3 linked regions of the Diceros bicornis minor genome follow. The protein of the gene in region 1 purifies or fractionates together with the protein of each later gene. This does not show direct contact. Links are inferred from orthologs where the notes say so. Each region holds a gene or a part of one and is shown on either strand. Other genes may lie near its edges.

Region 1 (7,279 bases):
ATTTTACCAAGCAAACACCTGCCTCTGTTCCCTGCTTCTGCTCTCAGTTGTCCAGTGACTGGAGATTAAGGCTCCGGTTTCTACGCGAGATAAAGTTTAGGGACTACGCCCAAGGAAATATGAAGCAATGCCTAATAGCAGAAATGTGAAATGTGAAGTGTGCAGAAAGGTCCACAGGCCTTGGGAGAGAGGAAGCTCTCGCTCAGGGAGCTGAGCCTCGAGGAACCACTTAAAGGGGCTGACCGCAAACGTGCATACAGTGAAAAGGGTGTGTTATGGGCTGAATCATGTGTGTCCCCCCACCCCATTCATATGTTGAAGTTTTAACCCTCAGTACCTCAGAATGTGACTGTATTTGGAGATAAGGTCTTCAAAGAGGTAATTAAGTTAAAATAAAGTCATTAGGGTAGGCCCTAATCAAATATGACGGGTGTCCTTATAAGAAGAGGAGGTTATGAAACACACACACGTACACACAGAGAACACCATGTGTGGATACAGGGAGAAAATGGCCATCTACAAGCCAAGGAGATGCCTCAGAAGAAATCAACCCTGCCACATCTTATCTAGGACTTCTGGCCTCCAGAACTGTAAGGACATAAATTTCTGTTGTTTAAGCCGCCCAGCCTGTGCTACTTTGTTATGGCAGCCCTAGCAACCAAAAACGGACGTGGAGCCACGTCGCTCTGAGAGCTGGCCCTCTGAGCTTCACACCCACACAATGAAACTTCGTTTGCACCATACCTCAATGTAGCTGGATCTTTTCCTAGGGCTTTAGCATATATTTTCTTGCCATCATGTCATCTAACTATGACGAGGCATGCTTCTTCATACTGATTTTAATAATCTGTCTTCCTCTTTTGTGTCTTCACCTGCTGAACATGTGTAGAAATTTGTCAAGCCTTCTGTTAGTTACTTATCCAAGCTACTCATATTTCTCCCTTTAAAGTTCACCATGTAAGTCCCTTTCTTTAATCTGCAAATTTAAATTGCTAATGTGCTACTTGTCTAGCTGTTCTTTATAAAGTGGCATTTGGGGGTGTTTATCTTTTCAACTCAGAAGGAGAAGTGAAGGGACTGATTGTTGAATTCTTGTTTTCGGCTGCACTCTTTGAGCTCTGCTGAGACTACAGAGCTGGCTTAGGGAACTTCAATACACAAGGGCTCTATATTTGGAGGGGCTCATTGTAAGGGTATGGAAATGTCCTTTGTGGTCCCAAATATATGTCAGAGCACAATTCATTGCCCAATTCATGTCCTTAAGTCAACACAAAAGACAAAGAGAGCCAGGGGATGAAAATAATTCCATGGGTTAGCAAGTGTCTCCATGGAGACCAGAAAATGCATAATCTCTATGGAGACCCTCAAAATCTCTCCTTCTGAAATTACAATAGTATATGATCTGTTGTAATTATAAGTTGAGGGTGGAGACAAAGTGACCAGAGGAAGAGGATGACAGGATAACCTTCTTTCCCTTGTGGAAATTATAGCTGTTGTGACTCTAAGTTTAATCAGTTGTGGTATTGTAAAATTCTGAAGTTAGCATTCTGGGAGACCATGTCCCTAGGATGGGATAAGAGGCACTTGAGGATCCAGCGTTTATATGCCCAACACTAACCTAGATGTCTGACATGTAGTTGGCGTTCAGAACAATGTGTTAATGTATGAACCAATGCAATGAGCAATTGGGCAGGATCTCATCATGGGCTCGGGCCCTGTCAATCATCTCTGCTCTGCTAAAACAAAGGGAGAGGGCTACTGATGGGGAATCCCGGGTAATGTCTGCATATGACCGAGCTGCACCAGTAACTCTTATTTTGCTTCTTTCTTCTCTTTCAAGGAGAATGGTGCTCAATTGTAGAAATATGGTTGAAGGAGGAAATGAGGTTTAGTCGTGGTGAGGAGATAAACAGGGTACAAGGAAATAGACCAGCTAATGAATGCAGGTCACTGTGTGCAGATAAGTTATATCCCATTGTAACCAACATGTTCTTAGCCTCACTAGCCTCTGGATAGAAAACGGGATTCTGATTACTTTTTATACCCAGGTTGTTATGGTCCAGTGTCCCCTGTGGCACATTTGTTGGAAATTAGCCCACCGTAAAGTGGGCCCCAGTGTTCTTTGAGAGTTTCCTATGGTAATGCCTCAGATCAGGGCCCAAACATTTCTGCCCACTTGTCCTGTTTCTTCCTCCTTATCTTGCTGCCATGTTATTGCCCTGACGGCTCACCCTAAGGAGAGACTTCTTTAGCATGATAGTCTCTACTGGTTGACCACCTACTGAAAAAATCACCTTTAATTCCAGGGATAGCCACTGCTTGGTAAATATACTTCCAAGTTTTTCTCTGTTTATGCATATATGCATAAAATTATATAAATTTAAATTATATATATGTTAAATTTATAAATTCATATATGTGGAGTAGCTTGAGATCAGACTATACATAATTTTGTACCCTGTATTTTCTTTCTTAATAATATATAATGAAAATATTCTTCCATGTTACTAAATATTGAAATACATAATTTTTAATAACTACCTAGAACTCACGTTATGAATATACTATCATTTACTTAAAAATCTCTGTGGACTTTTAATGTTTCCAATTTTCCCACAATTATAAATATCACTGCACTGCATCTTTTTATCTACGTTCTTCTGCACTTCTTGGTTGTTTCCTCAGCATTTGTTACTTTAAGTAGAATTCCAGGGTTAAAGAGTATTAACCCTTTTAAGACTCACGTTTTTGCTTGTTTTGCTGTTCATCTCTTTACGTAACCATTTTTTAGGTACACAAGATTTATACAAGATGGCAAGCTCCTAGGTATCAGGATTCATGCTTTTCTTAACTTTGTATTTGCCACATGCTCTTCACATTCCTTGGAGGTGGCAGGGCTTCATATTTCAGTGAAAACAGTGTACCAGTGACAACCATGAAGGTGTGTGAACCATCCTGAAGGACCTCGAGGAAAAACATGCATATTTCCAAAGGGAAAGAGGGATTCAGTCTAAGCACCCCACTCTCTGATCCAGAGCACCAGAGGGACCTGAAGTTGTTAAGAACACAGTGACATCTCAGAGAAGAAACATTCCTTGCCTTAGTAGAGGACTTTTAGAGTTTCCTCCAATAGTCTGTGAACTCTGGGGGGCTCATTTTTGTACGTCCGACCTAGCACAGCGATGGTGCAACAAAAGCATTCACGGGCATGAATGAGGAGCCAGGGTCCCCACAACCTGAGGTGCAGCAGATCACTTCAGTGGCTGCCACTCTGTCATTGTAAATAAAATACTTTCTGGAGGCAGTATTGACTCATTCCTAATGTCTTTCCTCTGCAGTTGGAGAAGAGGTGGCTAAACGGTGGGGGTCGAACTGGTGCTGAAGGCGGAGCTGGCCCTTTCGCTGGTAGCCGAAAGAGGGAGAGGGCCGGGGTAAGTCTAGACACGTTTCCTTCGATTGTCTTCCCTTCCTCCCTGCCCCTCCCCCACCTTTCCCTTCTCGTGGGTGGCCGCTCCCGCCCTGGTGCGGAGCCCCCTCACTTAGCTAAGTTTGCAGCGCCTCGAAGTCCAAGCGGGGCTGTCTTCAAGTAGCAAAAGCACGGGGGATTAACAGCTCTCGGCCTCTCCCCTCTCGGTTTCCTCCTTGGGTTGGTAGGAAACTTTACCCAGACGCCGAAGAAGCTCCGCCCTGGTAGTTTTGAACTGGCCACTGGCTGAGGCCCCGCGGGGCACTCTCCCTCCCCAGGTCCCCCAGCCCCAGACTCTACCCTCGAGGAGGCCGCCCGGAGCCAGTTTGTTCGGGGGCAGATGGCGAGCGGTGGGCTGGCTGGGAGGGCAGGAGGAGGAGGATAGAGGAAGAGTCGGTGCGCACCGCTCCCGCGCTGCCCAGACCCCCTTAGGGCCCGACTGGGCCCGCGGGTGGGGTGGGGGTGGTGGGCACGCGGCCCATCCCTGCCTCCAAGCCGCGTCCCTCGTCTCCCCGCCGGGCGGGCGGCCGCCCGCCCCCACCTCCCCTCCGGCTGCCCATCCTCCTCCCGCTCTGCCCTGCCGCTGGGGGGAGGGGCAGCCCGCGGGAGACGCTCCGACCCCCGGCCGCCCCGGCAGGCGGCGGCGCAGGCGGCTGCGGCCTAGGGCCCCGGGCGGCCGCGAGCCTCCTCCCCCTCCCGGAAGCGCGGGGCGGGGTCCCCGGCCGGGCCGCGGGGGCGGGCGCGGGGGCCGGGCCGGGGCGGGGCGCGCGGGGCGCTCGGCACTCGCGGGCTCGGCCGGCTGTGCGCGCCCACTCCGGCTCCAGGCGACCGGCGCGCGCGGGCCCAGGCCGCCCGGCTCCAGCGGAGCAGCAGCGGCGGCAGCTGGCGGCGAGGCCCCGCGCCCCTCGAGCCCCTCCCCGGCGCCGCGCATGGAGACGCGGCCCGCCGCCCGCCGCTGAGCTCGCCGCCCGGCCCGGGACCCGCCGGGGCTGGGGTGGCCTCGGGCTCCGGCCGGCCGCCCCCGTCGCCCGAGGGCTGCGCGCGGCCCGCGGGCCTCGTCGCCCGCGCGGATCGCCGCGGCCCGACCGTCCCGTCCCAGGCACTGGCCGTCCCGAGCGCCATGGCACACTCCCCGGTGCAGTCGGGCCTGCCCGGCATGCAGGTAGGCAGCAGCCGGGCCGCCGAGGGAGGGAGGGATGCGCGGGCCGGAGCGGAAGCGGGAACTTGGCGGTGTAAACACGGCCCCCCCACGCTGCCCTTCCGGGGTCGCGCCGGCCGCCCGCGCGGTACTCCCAGCCCCCGGGGCCACTGCCCGGCGCCGCGGCCCCAGGCTCGGGGGCGGGGGTGTGCGGGGATCGGGGCGCCGCGGCCTGGAGGCGGCCCTCGCCGGCCGGCGTCGCCGCGGTCAGGGAGGGATGCGGGGGTGCCAGCCGCCTTGCCCTCCCCGCTTTGCTCTCTTCCCAACGCCTCCCGAGTGCAGGCCCGGCGCCGGCGACCTCCCCGGGGAGAATGGATGCGCAGAAATGCCCTTGGAGGCCCGGATCCGGCTCGGGGCCCTGCGTGCGGCGGAGGCCCCTGTCCCCCCGGCGAGCGGCCGGAGAGTTGAGCGGCGGGAGGGCAGCCCCGGACGCGCCCCGACTCGTCCTGGGCCGGGCCCGGCCGGCTGGAGGAGGCAGGGCGGGGTGCGGCAAGGTGTAGGTGCCAGCCCCACTTCCAGCGCGTTCGTTCCGCGCCTGTCCTGGTGCAGATGGGAAAGTGCGAGCCTGGAAACCTTCTGGAAGAAGCAATCAGTCGGACACCGTGCACTCGCGTGCCGGACCCCGGGACCCTGGGCTTTTACTTTCAGACTTGGTTGGATCCGGATGAATTCCTTCCCAGTCAACCTCTCCTTTGATACTTTGTGGCATCCTGGCCGACCAGTGACTTTTTTGGAGGGGGAGAGAAGTTGAATTTCAAATTAACGTGAATGTATTAAGGTCTTTTGCCATTGGGCACTGTTCTTAGCCCTTTGAAAAAGAAAACCACCATCCGTGACTAACTTGTACTGTTTGTAAGCGCATATATGGTGGCAAAATGATTAGGGTTCAAATCTCACGATACGGTATGTCTTCCAAGTTTTGCTCTCTCAGTTTAGCTAAGCGAGTGGACCTAAGAAAACAACCACAGTTTTCCAAGTGGATTATTTATTTTACAGACATCTGCAGGCTCATTTTTTCTTTTTCCCTCGCCCTTGAGGGCTGAGAACAGGGCACCTACCTGGCCTCTTAGGAGCAGGGGATCTGCCCCACCTCTTCTGAGGCAGATGTTTTTTCCTTTTTTTTAAACCGTGAAAAGTGGGTTTCACTGTTCAGCTTTGAAATCTGGAAAAATAGGAACATAAAGTTACCAGAATTTTGGCCGGAGTTTTTTTTTTTTAAGGAGTAGCAGTTAAAGTTAATATCTTGAGTGTGCCTGAAGAAAACTGTTCTTGAATCTCATTTAAAGAGCCTTTAAATTGAACACGCATTTAAAACCTAAGCTTTTGCTGACCGCTAGGTAAAAATCAGATGTGGTTTCTTGGTATTTCTTAAAGTTCTTGCTTTGGTTTGGTTTGAATTTAGAGGCAGGAAGGCAAGGTGAACTGCGTGAAAAATTATTTTTGACGACTAGAGCAAGGGGGGCCTCTTGTAATGATAACAAAAATGCATTTAGTTAATATTTCCTTTAGACTGACTTCTATGCTGTGTTAATCAGGTTGTAATCCAGCACCAAGGCCTCACTTAGAGTTTTTACCGTGGAGGTAGTTGGCCTTTGTGGAAAGCGAATCAGTTTGGAAAGGGACTTCAAGCCTGGGTAGCTTGTGCCCTGAAGTCAGTATCAGATGGTCACCAGGTGGTATCTGGTCTCGACAATTTTTTTTTGTCCTTGCTTTTTTTTTTTCTTCAGGAGTGTGGGCCAAAATTCTTAACTCTTGGGAAAAGAAGGTAAAATTCCTTTAATAACTTTGCCTTCCAAATATAGTGTATTTCCTGGGTAGTGTTACAAGGGAACTGTTTTTATTTTGCTTTCTCAGTGTAAAAGCTGGTACATTTTTATTTAGTTGAGAGGACCACATTTCAGCTGTTATAGTTTCAGAGGTGCGAAGGTGGCTTCTGACAGCCATCCCTGCTTTTAAGCACATCTTCAAACTGTATGATAAATGTTTTTGGGTGCCATTTGGGGAAGAACATTCCTTTCCTCTCCTTTCCCCCTAAAAAAGAAAAACAACAAGCACATTTATTTTCTACTTGGAATTAGCAGCTGCTGCTGCCCAGGGAGGCATTCCTCAGAGTTGTTGAGATTAAATTAAAGATGCACCTGCCTTTGACTGACTGTTCAGGATAAAACAGGAGGGAGGTACTAACCCTTCTGTGCCCTGTCCTGAGACACCTCATCCCTCCCTTTTTTTCCATCTCATCTCCTGACCAGGGCTTTTAACGAGTTGGCTTAAAAATTTCAGAAAGACAGCAGAGTGAATTCAGGCAGCCGAGGCAAAGATGCTTAAAAAAAAAAAAAAAACCTGAATGAAAGAACATTTTAGTATAAACACGATTTTTCACTGTCTCGCGAATCATTTTTATGCCTCTTGATTCTTACTGCTACCACTTGAGGCATAAGTATTCTTTATGCCATTTTGTAGATGCAGAAACCAACAGAGACTAATGGAATGGACCAAGGTGAGACGATGTATCATGTGGCAAATTTGTGGTTTGAAACCAGGTCTTTCCTGCCTTCAAGACTGTGCTCCTACTCGCCATGCTGAATTATTGCTTTATTATTACTTTTGCAAAAATT
Region 2 (6,847 bases), on another chromosome or scaffold:
CCAGGCGTGGACCTACACCACTTGTCTGTCAGTGGCCATGCTGTGGTGGCAGCTCACATACAAAGAGGAAGATTGGCAGCGGATGTTAGCTCAGAGTGAATCTTCCTCAGGAAAAAAAAAAAAAAGATCAATTCTAGTCTAACCAACCACTGCATGTTGGACAATATCTCTAAGTGGCTGTTTAACTTAAATTTGAATACTTTTATTGGCAGGAAGCTTACCACATTCCAAGGTTTCTTATTCTATCTTTGGACATATCTCTTAGCATGTTTTTCATATGAGCTAAACTGTCTCCTTCAAGGTTCAAGTGTTCTCCTCCAGACTACAGAAAATAAACTTTATTTTTCTCTTCCAGATGAATGCCATTCACATATTTAAAATATCCCTGTTCCCTAAGACTTTGGTTAAGTCAGTAAAATTTTTTCAATGGAATCTAAGATAAAACTTATCTTTCATAAATTCCACTGCAGCAAAGAGTGACACGCCAATCTATTAATCCAGGATTAAATTACAGAGTATATGTGAATGTACAATGACAACTATGAAGCACTCTACAAACATAAGGAAAATTACTGGGTCTCCCAAATTAAATCATAAGCAACTGAAGTGTAGAAACTATGCCATATCTATTTTTTTAAAACCATACTTCTGTCTCCTGACAACACAGTATAATGCTATGTAATTCAGTTTAATAAAGGTTTACTGACTGCCTGCTATGTGCTAGGTACTATGTTAGGGATAAAAGATGAATTCATGCTCCTTACAATCAAAGAGCTTACAGTTTAGTGAAATGTACTATAATAACCAAGTATTTACTGAGCACCTTCAACACTAACTGGCATTATGTTTGGTGGAAGAACTAAGCATTCATTAACATGTTGAAGAAAGATCTTGGTGAGGGAGGGAGGAATCTCAGTCTCACTCAAATAAAAGGACCTGAACAACCCTTTACCCTCTTCTTTCTATTCATATCTTTACAAAGCTATAGCAAAATCAACAGCGAATGTGATAGACATGAAAGGAAAACAAGCTTACTTTTCTTAAAAAAACAAGGACACCGGGGCCGGTCCCCGTGGCTTAGCGGTTAAGTGCATGCGCTCCGCTACTGGTGGCCTGGGTTCGGATCCCGGGCGCGTACCGACACACCGCTTGTCCAGCCATGCTGAGGCAGCGTCCCACATACAGCAACTGGCAGGATGGGCAACTATGACATACAACTATCTACTGGGGCTTTGGGGGGAAAAAAGGAGGAGGATTGGCAATAGATGTTAGCTCAGAGCCAGTATTCCTCAGCAAAAAGAGGAGGATTGGCATGGATGTTAGCTCAGGGCTGATCTTCCTCAAAAAAACAAAACAAAACAAAACAAAAACAAGCACACAATCCAAAACAATTTCAAGATTTTAATTCAGTTCACTTAGAATTTATTCATCAAAGTTTCTTACTGCAGAGTGAGACTGGTGAGCTTTCAGGACTGGTTCAGCATCCACTGCTTTTTTAGCAACCATTAATTGTAACATCTGTTTCCGGTACTTGCTCATGATGAGTTCCAAAGCATCCTGATGTTCCTCCAAGGAAACCCATAGCTCTATCAAAAAATAAAATAACTTGGCAGTGATGTCTGAGAGATAACTCCCAAAGCCAAACTCTTAACAGTTGGAATTTTATGACACTCTATGAGATATTGTGAATTCAAAGTTGTAAATCTGCGTTTAGGTCCAAAAAACTCAACAGTTAAGGTCTACGTGAAAAATAACTTTCTGGCTAGTGGCAGCATAGTCTGGCAGAAACAAAATGAGATGTGGAATCAGAAGACATGGGTTTGAGTTCAGTTCTGTGAGTTACTAGCTTAATACTCAAGCAAACCATTTAACCTCTCTGAGCCTATTTTTTATCTATATTGTAATAATAAATACCTGGCTTGCCTACCTCAAAATGAAGATATGAGAATACAATGGGATGATACATGTGAAAGCCCTCTGTAAACTGATATACAAATAACTATTCATAGCCCTATCATAAATAATGTACTCATTCAAGCTTAAGACTACATACCCTGAAGATAAAATTCAGCTCTTCCACTTACACAAGAACCTAAAAAAACCTTCAGTCTTTAGTGTTTATTTCAATTAATATTTAAACATTAAGTTTTAAGCCCTTGAGGATATTAACGCTTTCGTTATGCAAGCCTCCACCTGGGGATGCCTAAATAAGCCACGCAGTAATTCAGCTCTACTAAGCATCTCTTTGATAAGCTGCCTATAAAAACAAAATCAGTCAGATGACATTGAAAAGGGTAATGTAACAAACTTCATTGTTTTGGGCCAGCGCAGTAACTTTTCCTATTAAAAGTACTGACCCGGAAATACATACAGCACGTGCACTTTTGTGAACAGTATGACACTTTTGTAAGAACCTTTGAAATATTACTGGATATGAGAAAATCATAGTAACTACAAAAAAAGTCCTGACTAACCTCTGTTTTCCTGCTGCAAGTCTCTAATCTGTGTATTCTCTTGGGAGAGCAGAATGTGAGGTTTGTATTTGGACAAGTCCTTTATATCGGATGCATCCTCTTGATACTGGACAAACAGAGACAGACTAAGTGCGCCGTCAACAGAACAGCCACAGATGCAAATGAAGAGGCAGGAGTCAGAGCTCCAGGGCAGCATTCTCAGCCCCGATCCCGCAGAAAGGTCTCACCGATGCCCTCTGAGACCAGGAATAAATTCCAGGCCGAGTTTCCATTTTACCTCGCCCTCCATCCCTCAAGTGCCCAGTACCTGAGGGCACGGACCCCTACCCTCTGCCTGACCTGGTCCGGAAGCGCTGTCCCCGCCTCCCGCATAGCGGCTACCCGCCGGTGCAGCGCCGCCGATTGATCCACCAGCGACTCGGCAGCTGCATCATGCTCCCGCAGTCTCTCCAGAAGCGTCTTAGCGTCTGTCAGGATCTTCTCAATGGTGCAGCTCATAGCTGCCACCCGACCCCAGCCCCACCTCTGCTCGCCTACCAGAATCGCTCAGATCCTCCCGCAACGTGTCTCAGCATTATAGACGTCACTTCCAGGTACGCTTAAAAGGCGCCTCGGCAGCTGCGATATGCGCCTGCGCAGTGGCAGCCTAGTCCGGGAGTGACCTGCTTTGACCGGCGGCTTTCTTGCGGCCTCGCCTTGCGGAGTGTCGGAGGCCTGGCCTTGCAATGCCCTTGGTTTCATGTTCCCGCAGCCTGGTGGTCAAGTTCAGTTATGGCTGGGCGGGCTGAGTTTCTCCTTTCCCTACTGGTTTTGATTGATGTAGATTGTTATTCAGTCGTCGTTCTTTTCTTTTTCGTTTAGTTTTTAAAAAATTGTGGTAAAATGCACATAAAATTTACCATCTTAACCATTTTTAAATGTACAGTTCAGTAATATTAAGTGCATTCGCACTCTTGTGCAACCATTACTATCTAACTTCAGAACTCTTCATCTTGCAAAACTGAAACTCTGTACCCGTTAAATACTAATTCCCTATTCTGCCTTCCTCCTAGCCCCTGGCAACCACTATTCTACTTTCTGGCTCTATGGATTTGACTGCTTTAGGTACCTTATGTAGCTGGAATCATATAAATCAGATATGTCGTTTTTGTGACTGGCTTATTTCACTTGGCATAATGTCATTAAGGGTCATTTATGCACATCAGCATTTCCTTTTTAAGACTGAATAATATTCCATCTTATGTATATCACATTTTGTTTATCCATTCATCCATCTATGGACACTTGGGTTGCTTCCACATTTTGACTATTGTGAATAATGCTGCTATGAAGAGAGGTGTACAAATATCTCTTTGAGTCCTTGCTTCCAATTCTTTTTGTTTATACCCAACAGTAGAATTGCTGAGTCATATAGTAATTCTATTTTTAAATATTTTTGAATGACCATACTGTTTTCCACAGTAGCTGCATTTTACATTTTCACCAACAGTGCATAAGGGTTCCAATTTCTCCATGTCCTTGTTGACACTTGCTATTTTCTGTTTTTTGGTTTCTGGGTTTTTTTGCAGGGAAGAAATTCATCCTGAGCTAACATCTGTTGCCAATCTTCTTCTTTTTTTCCCCTCCCCAAATCCCCACTGCATGGTTGTATATCCTAGTTCTAAGTCCTTCTAGTTCTCCTATGTGAGCTGCTGCCACAGCAGGGCAACTGACAGATGGGTGGTGTGGTTCTGTGACTGAGAAACAAACCTGGGTGGCTGAAGCAGTGAGAGCTCCACAATTTTGACCACTAGGCCATCAGGGCTAGCTCTATTTTCTGTTTTTTTGATAGCCATCTTAATGATTGTGAGATGGAGTCATTGCTATTTTCTGCTTGCTTTTTTTTTCCATTTTAATTCAATTAAGAAATTGGAAATAAATTTAACCAGAACAGTGATGACTTTTGTGCTATTTGTTATATGGGTTTATGATTTTACCTTGTCAAGCATGTATGTCAAACATTGTTCTTCTTCATTCATTACTATAATGAATATTTTGGGGGAACCTTCTTTGTTTCAGGCACTGTTTAGTGTCTGGGAATACACCAGAGAATGATACAAAGTCTCTGCTCTTAGGGAGTTTATATTCTAATGGGAGAAAGAGTTCATACTCTTACAAATGATTGAAAGTAATGACAGGATTAGGAGCCTGGTGAGAGGGGCAAGAGTGTCAGAGCAGTAGTGTGAGGTCAGAGAAGTGAGGGGAGAGAACTGAGCTTTTTGCCTTTGTATTCCCAGCAGCTGGCACAATGGAGACATTCAATAATTGTTTGTCAAGAGGGGGATAGGGAACAAATTCAACAAAAATAACAAATCAAGACAACTGACCAACAGGAAAAAAATTAATGCAGAGCCACAGAGGTAAAGAGGTTTCGTTCATTCACTAAAACAAAGCAAAACACTCTTCCTAAGTGATCTCTTTCACTTATTTGCCTTTGACTTCCATTGAGAGATGATGGTTCTCAAATCCGTCTGATCTCATTATCTTTGCTTCTAAACCTGCTCCTCCTCCTGTTTCAGTAAAGAGCACATTCATATACCTCTTTGCCCAAAAAAGAATCCTGGAAGTCATCTTCTATCCTTCCTACTTAGTGTTTACAATTAATCAGTTACCAAAGCAATCTATCTCCTTTATAGCTTTAGGACTTATTTCCTTCTTTGTATTCTCACTGCTATTGGGTATATTGGGCCGTCGTCCTTTCTCACCCAGACAAAGCAACAGTCTTCCAACTGGTCTTCTCCCTACCTCAAGTCGTCTCCTCGTCTACTAACTCTCCCCAAGGATACCACAACCCCTTGCTGCCTTTTCGGTGGCAGGTAATTATTATTCTCTGCCCACCCACGTTAGGGCTGAGAACTAGCCGGCTCATTCTAATTCCCTAATGACACTGCCAAGCAATTACTCTTACTTGCTTGTGTAAAACCTCCGTTTATTTGAAGCTTGTCTCATCCAGCTGGAGAATCTTCTGTCTCTCCTTATTGCTGTCAATTACTGACCTACTACCTTGGGTATTCTCCTTTTTTCATAGAAGATTTGAGGAGCTGGCTTACAATCTTTTTTATTACTTAACATTTTGCTCTCATCTTGGGTGACATTCATGTCCGTGTGGACAATTCATCTAATGTTCTATCCTTCCTTGTCCTCTTCCATTCTAGAGACATTCAATTTATTTGACCATCCATGGCCACACCCTTGATCATTCACTAAAAATTGTTTCTCATCAAAAATTTTAAGCTTTAATATCTAACTCTTTGACTGCAAACTTGGTTTCAATCTATCCAGTTCTTGCAACCCTTTCTGCCACTACTGTCTCTTTGACCTCATCCAGCTCTTTGATTTCTGAATATATCTATATTCTCCCCACCTATCAGACTTTTCTTGTGGTCTAATATTCTTTCCCTGACCAGACTGAGCTCTTGTGATTGGCAATCTGAGCCATCGTCTCTCTGGCACCTCTAATTCTTTAGCACTTTTCTTTTTAGACCAAATGCAAGCAGTAAACTCCAACCCTCGACCAATCTTAGGATTCCAGTAGTGATTAAAAGGGGATACAGAAATAAGGGAGAGTTTTTGTTTCTGCTTTTATTTTGTTTTTATGGACAAATCTTGAGCATGTTTATAGGCTTTATAGGGGAAGGATCCATTAGAGAAAGAGATATAAGAAAGTAGGGGGACATTTAAAGGAGGAAGAACCAGAAGGAGAAGGGACATAGTAGCTACTTAATAAATTTTTGCTGAATATTGATTGGGATGATGGACATAGGGTTAAGAATATAGGTGAAGTTGCTGGACTTGAATAGAAAAGAGACATTTCATTCTCCTTATTTGGAAAGAAAAATAAAAAGGGTAGGTACAACTATGGGTTATAGATGGGGAAACATGAAGATAAAGGAGTTCTAACCTTCAAGCCGTCCCAATACTTCTGTATCCCACCCATCAATAAACCAATAAGATAAGCTCAGGTACCTGTAGTGTTGTTCATGGAAATTAAACAAATTTCCCAAGACCTCTTTTGCTTGTTCTGACTTATTTCCATTTTGATCTAATTTCTATCGGCTCCTGTTTCTTGGCTCCATATCCTCCTTATTATTTCACTCTTACTCTTTGGGTCAGGAAGTGATTTTGGGTTTCCCTACCTTTATTCTCAGCTCTCAGACTGCCCTATCAGCAATTCCACTTTTGTCTCTCTCAGGGTATATACCTTATCCCAGTGATCCTCTGATGATCCAAATGCCAACTCTGACCCACAGGATAATGTTCCTGCCACAGTTACATGAATTCTAGTGGGGAGGGACTTGGAAATTTTACTGGAAATACCTCTTGTAGTACCATGC
Region 3 (7,202 bases), on another chromosome or scaffold:
GTAGTGATAATCCCTGATTATGAGTTCCATAGCTTCTTCTGATTGACTGTGTGACTCCAGGTAAAGTCTTTTTCTCTTTGTCAAGTATTCCCAGCCATGAAAATGGGTTTAAAATTTTGCCAAAAAGCAGAGAAGAGAAAGAAAGTAAAAATATTGAGGTGAAGTTGAGGGGGGAATATTTGAGACCCGCAGAATGAGGATATTCTTTGTATAAACATAAATTCAAAATATCATTAACACTATAATGATAATTACTAATTTGCAATGAATTAAGTGCAGACCTGGGAATCTGTTTACCAGGGTCAGCTTGCTAAATGAAGAAAGCTGGAAAATGCCTGCATGTACCTCAGGTTTTCTGTACAAGAACTGGGCCATCCACCACTTTCCTGATGGCCTTTTCAATGGGTCGGCACTGCTGGGTCTGCCCTGAGAGAACGACCTACATATAGGTCTCTCTGCTGCACTTGGCCTTCTCTCCCAGTGGGGTGACTCTGGAGCAGATCAGTCCTGGAATGAGCGCCTGTTTGTAAAGCTCTGTGGACTGTGAGGAAGAGGCAAGCTTAGTACATGTGAGGTGAGAGGTCAGAGAGCACAATGACGTCATTCAGGCTTCCTCAGGACTGACCCTCTTCTGTTGTGACATTGAGAGCTGTTAGAAACACAAGAGTTGATGGCTATCGATCCCATCTGCCTGTGCTGCTCCATATTCTTGATGCTTCATCTGACAGGACCTGGGCAAATCTAACCCTGTCTTCCCTTGATTCACTGGGTGAGTGAACTGTATGTGGGTATCAGAACTCAGTGTTGAGAATGTCACATTGTTTCCTGAGTGTTGCTTCAAATCCTCAGCATTATCTCAGCCATTCCCTCTGGTGCTCCCTGGTCATTAGTTTCTTGTGTGTGTGGGATGTGGACAGGAGACCAGAGGGCGCAATAGAGAGGAAGAGAGCATATGGAAACAGCTCAGTGACACAGTTCTGTATTTGTAGTGCCTAGCTGACTTCCAGGAATCCAGCAAAAGAGGGATCGTCTTAATCTGGCAAAAACCACAGCCAATAGGGATAGAATTGCTTATTGATAAGCAGTTGTAGCTATCATTTGCTTTTTCTGGACTGAGGTGGCTTCCAGATACTCTTTTCAGACTCTCCTTGAGCAGATGCTTGTTGATATGGTACTTATTTTTCCAGATGAACTTTTTAAATCAATGTCTTTCGAACGTCATTGCACATTAGAACCACCAGGGGTGCACGGTAAAATGTCCTGCCCCGTTCTCAGGGATTCTGATTCAGTAAATCTAGGGTGGAGGCCAGGAATGCACATTTTTCCCCCAGTTTTACTGAGAAATAATTGACATAGAGGAATCTGCATTTTTAAACAAGCAACTTATGTGATTCAGATAGTCAGTGGACCACACTCTCCAAAAGACTGTCTTACATTTTGTTCTAGTTTCCATGTGGCCCAATTTTTGAAATAGCCTCTTTCTGCTTCACTCTGTTTTAATCACTTTCTTTATTGAAGGATTTATTAGCATCTCCATGTTTACTACCTGTTTCATTCTCACATCATCACAGTAACCAGAGAGGGAACCAGAGGGGGTTAGCTCCATTTTATTGGAGATGAGGGGGTGAGAAGCAGGATTGAGGCATAGGGAGAGGTATGTCACAATGAGTCAGAGACAGAGGTGGGAATTGAAGTCCAGAATTGATGACTCTAAAACCAGGCAATTTTCTGGGGCCTATTTTCTCAGCTTGTGATTTCGTATTTAATCATAGTTATTCTTTAGGTGTCCAATTCATTGTGCTTGAGTAAGCAAAGCGTACTTGAGTTTTAAACAAAATAGCTTAGCATCAATCCATGTGCTAATTTCTGTTTAGCAGATGGAGGGTTGTCTAAGCTTAAGCTAATATCTAGATGATGGTATGTCTGGAATTGACTTAATGTGCTTCTCTCTGCATTTGCTTCCTTTATCATTTCTGAAGACTTTTTACATAAAGTATAAGGAAACAGATTTCTCCTCTCCATGCCAATAGGAACCCCCTCTGATCTACTTGTTTAGTACTGGTAAAGTACTAAATCAAAAAACCTCTCAGCCCTCTGTTTCTCAAACTTGAGTAGTATTTGGATCCATTTCTAAAGGAAAAAAAAATCTTGAAAACTCTGTCAATTAAATTTTTATTACAATGTTACTTAAATTTATAAATATAAAGTAGGAATATAATGTTCTTTTATTTATAGTTCTTATACAACTAAAAAACCAAAAAAGATTTACATATTAAATACATATGAAACCACAAAACTAATACTATGCATATTAATATAGTAATTTAACATGACAATTGATGTTTTGCTTAGACTAAATTATCCCTTGTATTGTGACTATGGTATTGCTTGTGAAAGATCAACGTCTTTTGAGTTCAACATGCCTATGCCACCAAGTGACCTCTGACATCTCAATTTTCTCACCACTTTTCTGTTAGAACTACTGCAACAGTGCAGTCCCATGATGTCTTTTTTTTTTTTTTGGTGAGGAAGATTGGCCCTGAGCTGACATCTGTTGCCAATTTTCCTCTTTTTGCTTCAGGAAGATTGTCACTGAACTAACATCTGTGCCAGTCTTCCTCTATTTTGTATGTGGGTCACTGCCACAGTATCGCTTGATGAGCAGTGGGTGGGTCTGCACCTGGGATCTGAACCCTCGAACCCCAGGCTGCCGAAGCAGAGCACATGAACTTAAACACTATGCCACCGAGCTGGCCCCCATGATGTCTTTTGGCTTTCATTTTGTGCATGAAAACACCATTTTCATTTTAAATCCACCTCTGTTCGTTTCTCATTATCCCCAAACAATAAAAGCAGAATTGAAACACACGTGCAAATGTAGGTACTGAAATCACGTGGCAATACCAGGTTATGAAGTGGTCACCCAAATAATCCAGTATATGCTTATGCAAATCTAAAAAATATTATCAAAATGAAAACAAAATTAAAACCCTAGAGAATACATCCATAGACCTAATTTGAGAAATACTGTTCAGGTCCATTCACTCCCAAACTTCCACTACTATCATATGCCCTATCTACTGTATTTACTTCCAGGAACCCTATGTTTTAAAGAAAAAGTCTCCTAAATTGCATTTATTAATAATTTTACATTTTTATTAATCAGACATAGAACTACCATTTCAAAGCTTGTGATCACCATATATAGGTATCAGTCTAAGCTGCTTATAGTCCAAAACAAACAAAAAGACAGGACATTCTAGTAATTCTCTGCTGCCCTAACAAGGGTAAATGAAAACTTTCCATTAAGTTTTTTAAGAAAGAACTCCCATACCCTCACATCCTCCCACTGCTGCCTTTCAGGACTCTTGGAGTTCTAGGGAGGCCAGTTTAGCCTTTCTTGTACAAGCAAAGTAGCCACTCCACTCAATTTGGAAGGATTAAAGCTTGTCCTAGTTTTGCTTGATTGTTGTACTTCTAGCATGCTAAAGATCTAAAAAATGGGAGGAAGAAAATACAACAGAAGGCACCATTCCAGTACCAAACTGAAAAGAAACACAAAAACAAGAGAGCAGCATGTTTTTAACAGCTTGCATGGAGAAGGCGGAAAAAATATTGACTGGGGAGTTTGGACAGCACTGTTCATTTTCTCTCACCGCCCGCGTTATTTGTCTTATGCAGCAGGAGCCAGATACAATTCTGGCGCACAGGCCGAAGGAAGAGGTGGAGGGGTTCTGTGGAAGCCTGAGGCTAGTGGGGAAATTAGAGCTGGAGACCCACTGGCTCAGGGCCAGGATGAAGTGAGGGGAGGCGCTAAATCTTTTTTCCTCCTAGCCTTGGGCATCCTCTTTGGTCCGCCGGAATCCTAAGAGGACACAGCACGGATCACTCAAGTAGGTCCCTGACCCCTTCAGAGCACCACGAACAGGATGAATCCTTGCCCCTGTTTCTTTTGGCTGGGGAAAGGACGCAGGGGCTCCATTCGGTTTCTTAGCCCACCCTTCTTCTGGTGTTTAGAGCTACAGCTCCCCCAAGGGGGACCGGGCGAGGGCCTTCACCAGCCCGGCAGACATCCAGGTCCTCCACCTTGGCGGAGAAGGAGCGCGGGCATTAGCTCCGCCTGCCTGGGCGCGGGGCGGGGCCTGGGCGCGGGGCGGGGCCTGGGCGCGGGGCCGGAGGCAGCAACCAGGCGGAGGAGAAAGAACATGGCGGGCGCCGCGGGCCCTGGGCTCGGCCCCGGGGCAGCGGGCGGAGATGGAGACGATTCGCTATACCCGATCGCGGTTTTAATCGACGAGCTCCGCAATGAGGACGTGCAGGTACTGGCCTCGGGTCGGGGAGCGAAGGCGGCCCAGCCAGGCGCGTGGGAGGGAGGCGGGAAGGCCGGCGCCGCGGTGGGGGTGGCCGGGGGATGGAAAGAGGCGGGCTCCGAGCTGAAAGTTGAAGGGGAGGAGGGGAGCGACCCTTGAGGGGCTGTGGTGCCTCGGCGCGACCTTCCCGGGGAGCTCTCCAGCACCCTTCCTCCCGACCTCCTGAGGCGTCTGCCCGGCGTCCCACCGGTCCAGGCGGTTGTGGGAGAACCGGCCTCCCGCCTGGGCGCCCTTCCGGGCCGTGCGGTGGGAGCGCCGCGTCGAGCGCTGGGCCGGCCGTCCTTGTCGACGAGCGGCCGCAGGGAGGGCGGCGCGGGGCCGCGAGGGGCTGAGCAGCCGGCAGCGGCGCCAAGGGGCCCTTTGAAGTGCGGGTGAATGAATGCCTTCCTCTGGGCTTGCAAACCGGCCGGGATCGTGGGGTAGAAAGAGGGTGGGGTGGCTGATGAACCTAGAGGAGTCGGTGTGGCAGCTTTGGGCGAACTTTTCTTTGAAAAGGCGGGAGTTGTATTCAACCGTTTCCTGCTTCACCACTGCCAGAGTTCCCTTTCTAAAATGTCTCACTCCCTGGATGTTGTATTCTCTTTCATTCATTTCTCTAATGGGGCCTTCAGAGTGTTTCTACTAGGACATCTTCCTAATGAAGCCGTGTTACGCTGCTCCTGACGTTCCTCATAGAATAAAATCTAAACTGAAGGTTTTCCTCATTCTTACTCGTACGCCATCTCACCTGTTGGCAACTTTTGTCTTTTGGTCTAAATCACAACTATTTCTTTACTTCGTTCTTCTTTCCACTTTCTTTTTTAAAGCTCCGTCTCAACAGTATTAAGAAGTTATCAACAATTGCTCTAGCACTTGGAGTAGAAAGGACGCGAACTGAACTGCTGCCATTCCTTACAGGTATGTGAATCTTTGTTTAAAGAAAGGCATGGGCATTTCTGTTTTCCAGTGGCTTTCAAAATTTTGAGTATTTTTTAGCATTTGTTACCCCCAGTATTATTAAGTGCTAAACTGAGCCTGATGCTTTTGGGGCAAAAGAGAACAGGACAGGGCATATTGTAATATTGTGGCCAGACATATTCAAACATTAACTGTTTAGCTAATAGTAAAGTAATTGTTGATAATGGGATTATGAATTTCTAATTCATTCTGTAAAACAGATCTAAGACGACTCTTGATTGAGAAGGAAGAAAAGACTGTTAAAGGATTGTGACAGGACCGTCGAGTTACATATTAAGTCTCTTCATGTCTCTTCCTAGTTTTATGTGAGTGTCCAGTTCTGGGCCAGCTATCCTTGTTGATGAGTATTGGGTTGTTGTCATTTCCAGATACAATTTATGATGAAGATGAGGTACTGTTAGCTCTTGCAGAGCAGCTGGGAAGTTTCACTGGCCTGGTGGGAGGTCCTGACTTTGCCCACTGTTTGCTGGTGAGTATATTCTGCCTGCCCTCCTTCTAGAACTTTTGCAGTATAAATGATACATTGTTTGGTGGTAGACACACTGCAGCATTTTTTTATGCAGATCTTTTTATGGATAGTCGCAGTGTTAGCTATTGAGAGAACAAATAATGTAGGTACTTTGGACTCAACCCTTTCTTATTTTTTCTGACTATGAATATAAGAACTTCCTCTTTTCTGCCTCTGTAGACTTATTTGTTAGTTTAGAGGTTGGGAGAAAAAGGATTTGATTGGTTTTGTTTATTTTTTTTTCTCTTGAAATTGGAAATCTTAATTCTCATCTAGCAGTGTCATGACTTTGGAAATGTTTGTTAGCTTTTTGTCTTTGATCGTAAGCATAACGTTTGCTTCTGGCTTACTTTGTGAATTTGATGAGTTCACTTCAATTTAGTTGACATTTATTGAGAGCCTACTATATCAGGCACTGAAGTTACAGTGTTAATGTTAAAGAAGACTAATGTGAATGGAATGAGGTCTCTGTCCATATTTGTCAACAAATAATTACGTACAGTGTTAGATGGAAAAATGAAAGCACATACAAGGTACTCAAGTAATGGAGAAGAGAAAGAGTTAACCTAGGGTGATCAGGGATGACCTCATGGGAGATGATGTCTGAACTAGGTTTTGAAGGATGACTAGGAATTTGGATAGTTGCAGAAGATAGGCATGTATGCTTCAGGGCTTAAATACTGTGTATATCATGCTGACTCTTGTGATTTTATCTCTACCTTTCCATGGAACTTCAGATATAGCTATAGAAAGAGAGATATAGATATCTATCTGTTGTCTCTATATATCTGCCTATGATTTTTCCACTAGGATGTCAAACAGACATTTCAAATTTAACATGCCTAAAACAGATCTCAATTTTCTCCCCAAAATTATGCCTTTCATTTAGTTGTCCCATCTCAGTAAATGGCATCACCGTCTACCCAGTTGCACAAGCCAAAACCTAGACGACATTCTTGAATCTTCCTTCCCTCATTTCCCACATCTAATCCATTAGTAACTTCTACAGATTCTATATACATTCCAAATCAGTCCACTTTCCTCCATCCCTACTATTAGCTGGCTCATCTTTCCTCTAGTCTTTCCAGGCCACATGATCTTTCCTCTAGATTACTACAGTAACTTCCTAACTAGTTGCTTTCCCCTCTTGCCTCCCACCTCACCCCTACAGTTCACTCTTCACCCAGCAGATGGATCACTCCCTGCCATGGCTCTTAGAAAATCCACATTTCTGCCTTAGCTTGTATCTTAGTTTACAAAACCTGCCTCTGTGAGCTTATCTCATATCGTGTTCCCTCTTGATAACCTCATTCCATTCACAGTGATCGTCTTTCTGTTCTTTGAATAAACCAAGCTTATTATTGCCT

The links. Proteins that work in one complex are often made in the same cells at the same time.
Region 2: the proteins of STK24 (region 1) and SIKE1 purify together in Homo sapiens (affinity purification with mass spectrometry; 4 studies listed by BioGRID and IntAct, with this or other methods). This does not show direct contact. The link is inferred for Diceros bicornis minor from reciprocal best matches to the Homo sapiens genes STK24 and SIKE1.
Region 3: the proteins of STK24 (region 1) and PPP2R1B purify together in Homo sapiens (affinity purification with mass spectrometry; 3 studies listed by BioGRID and IntAct, with this or other methods). This does not show direct contact. The link is inferred for Diceros bicornis minor from reciprocal best matches to the Homo sapiens genes STK24 and PPP2R1B.

The regions. Positions count from the first base shown.
Region 1 is NC_080748.1:74,651,021-74,658,299, reverse strand, and holds the start of STK24 (serine/threonine-protein kinase 24), read left to right. Parts: upstream 1-4,264; 5' UTR 4,265-4,586; coding exon 4,587-4,628; intron 4,629-7,279. UniProt on the Homo sapiens protein: Serine/threonine-protein kinase that acts on both serine and threonine residues and promotes apoptosis in response to stress stimuli and caspase activation.
Region 2 is NC_080743.1:47,414,653-47,421,499, forward strand, and holds the start of SIKE1 (suppressor of IKBKE 1), read right to left. Parts: upstream 3,016-6,847; 5' UTR 2,973-3,015; coding exon 2,814-2,972; intron 2,581-2,813; coding exon 2,475-2,580; intron 1,587-2,474; coding exon 1,444-1,586; intron 1-1,443.
Region 3 is NC_080746.1:24,465,769-24,472,970, forward strand, and holds the start of PPP2R1B (serine/threonine-protein phosphatase 2A 65 kDa regulatory subunit A beta isoform), read left to right. Parts: upstream 1-4,187; 5' UTR 4,188-4,205; coding exon 4,206-4,319; intron 4,320-5,176; coding exon 5,177-5,267; intron 5,268-5,695; coding exon 5,696-5,796; intron 5,797-7,202. UniProt on the Homo sapiens protein: The PR65 subunit of protein phosphatase 2A serves as a scaffolding molecule to coordinate the assembly of the catalytic subunit and a variable regulatory B subunit.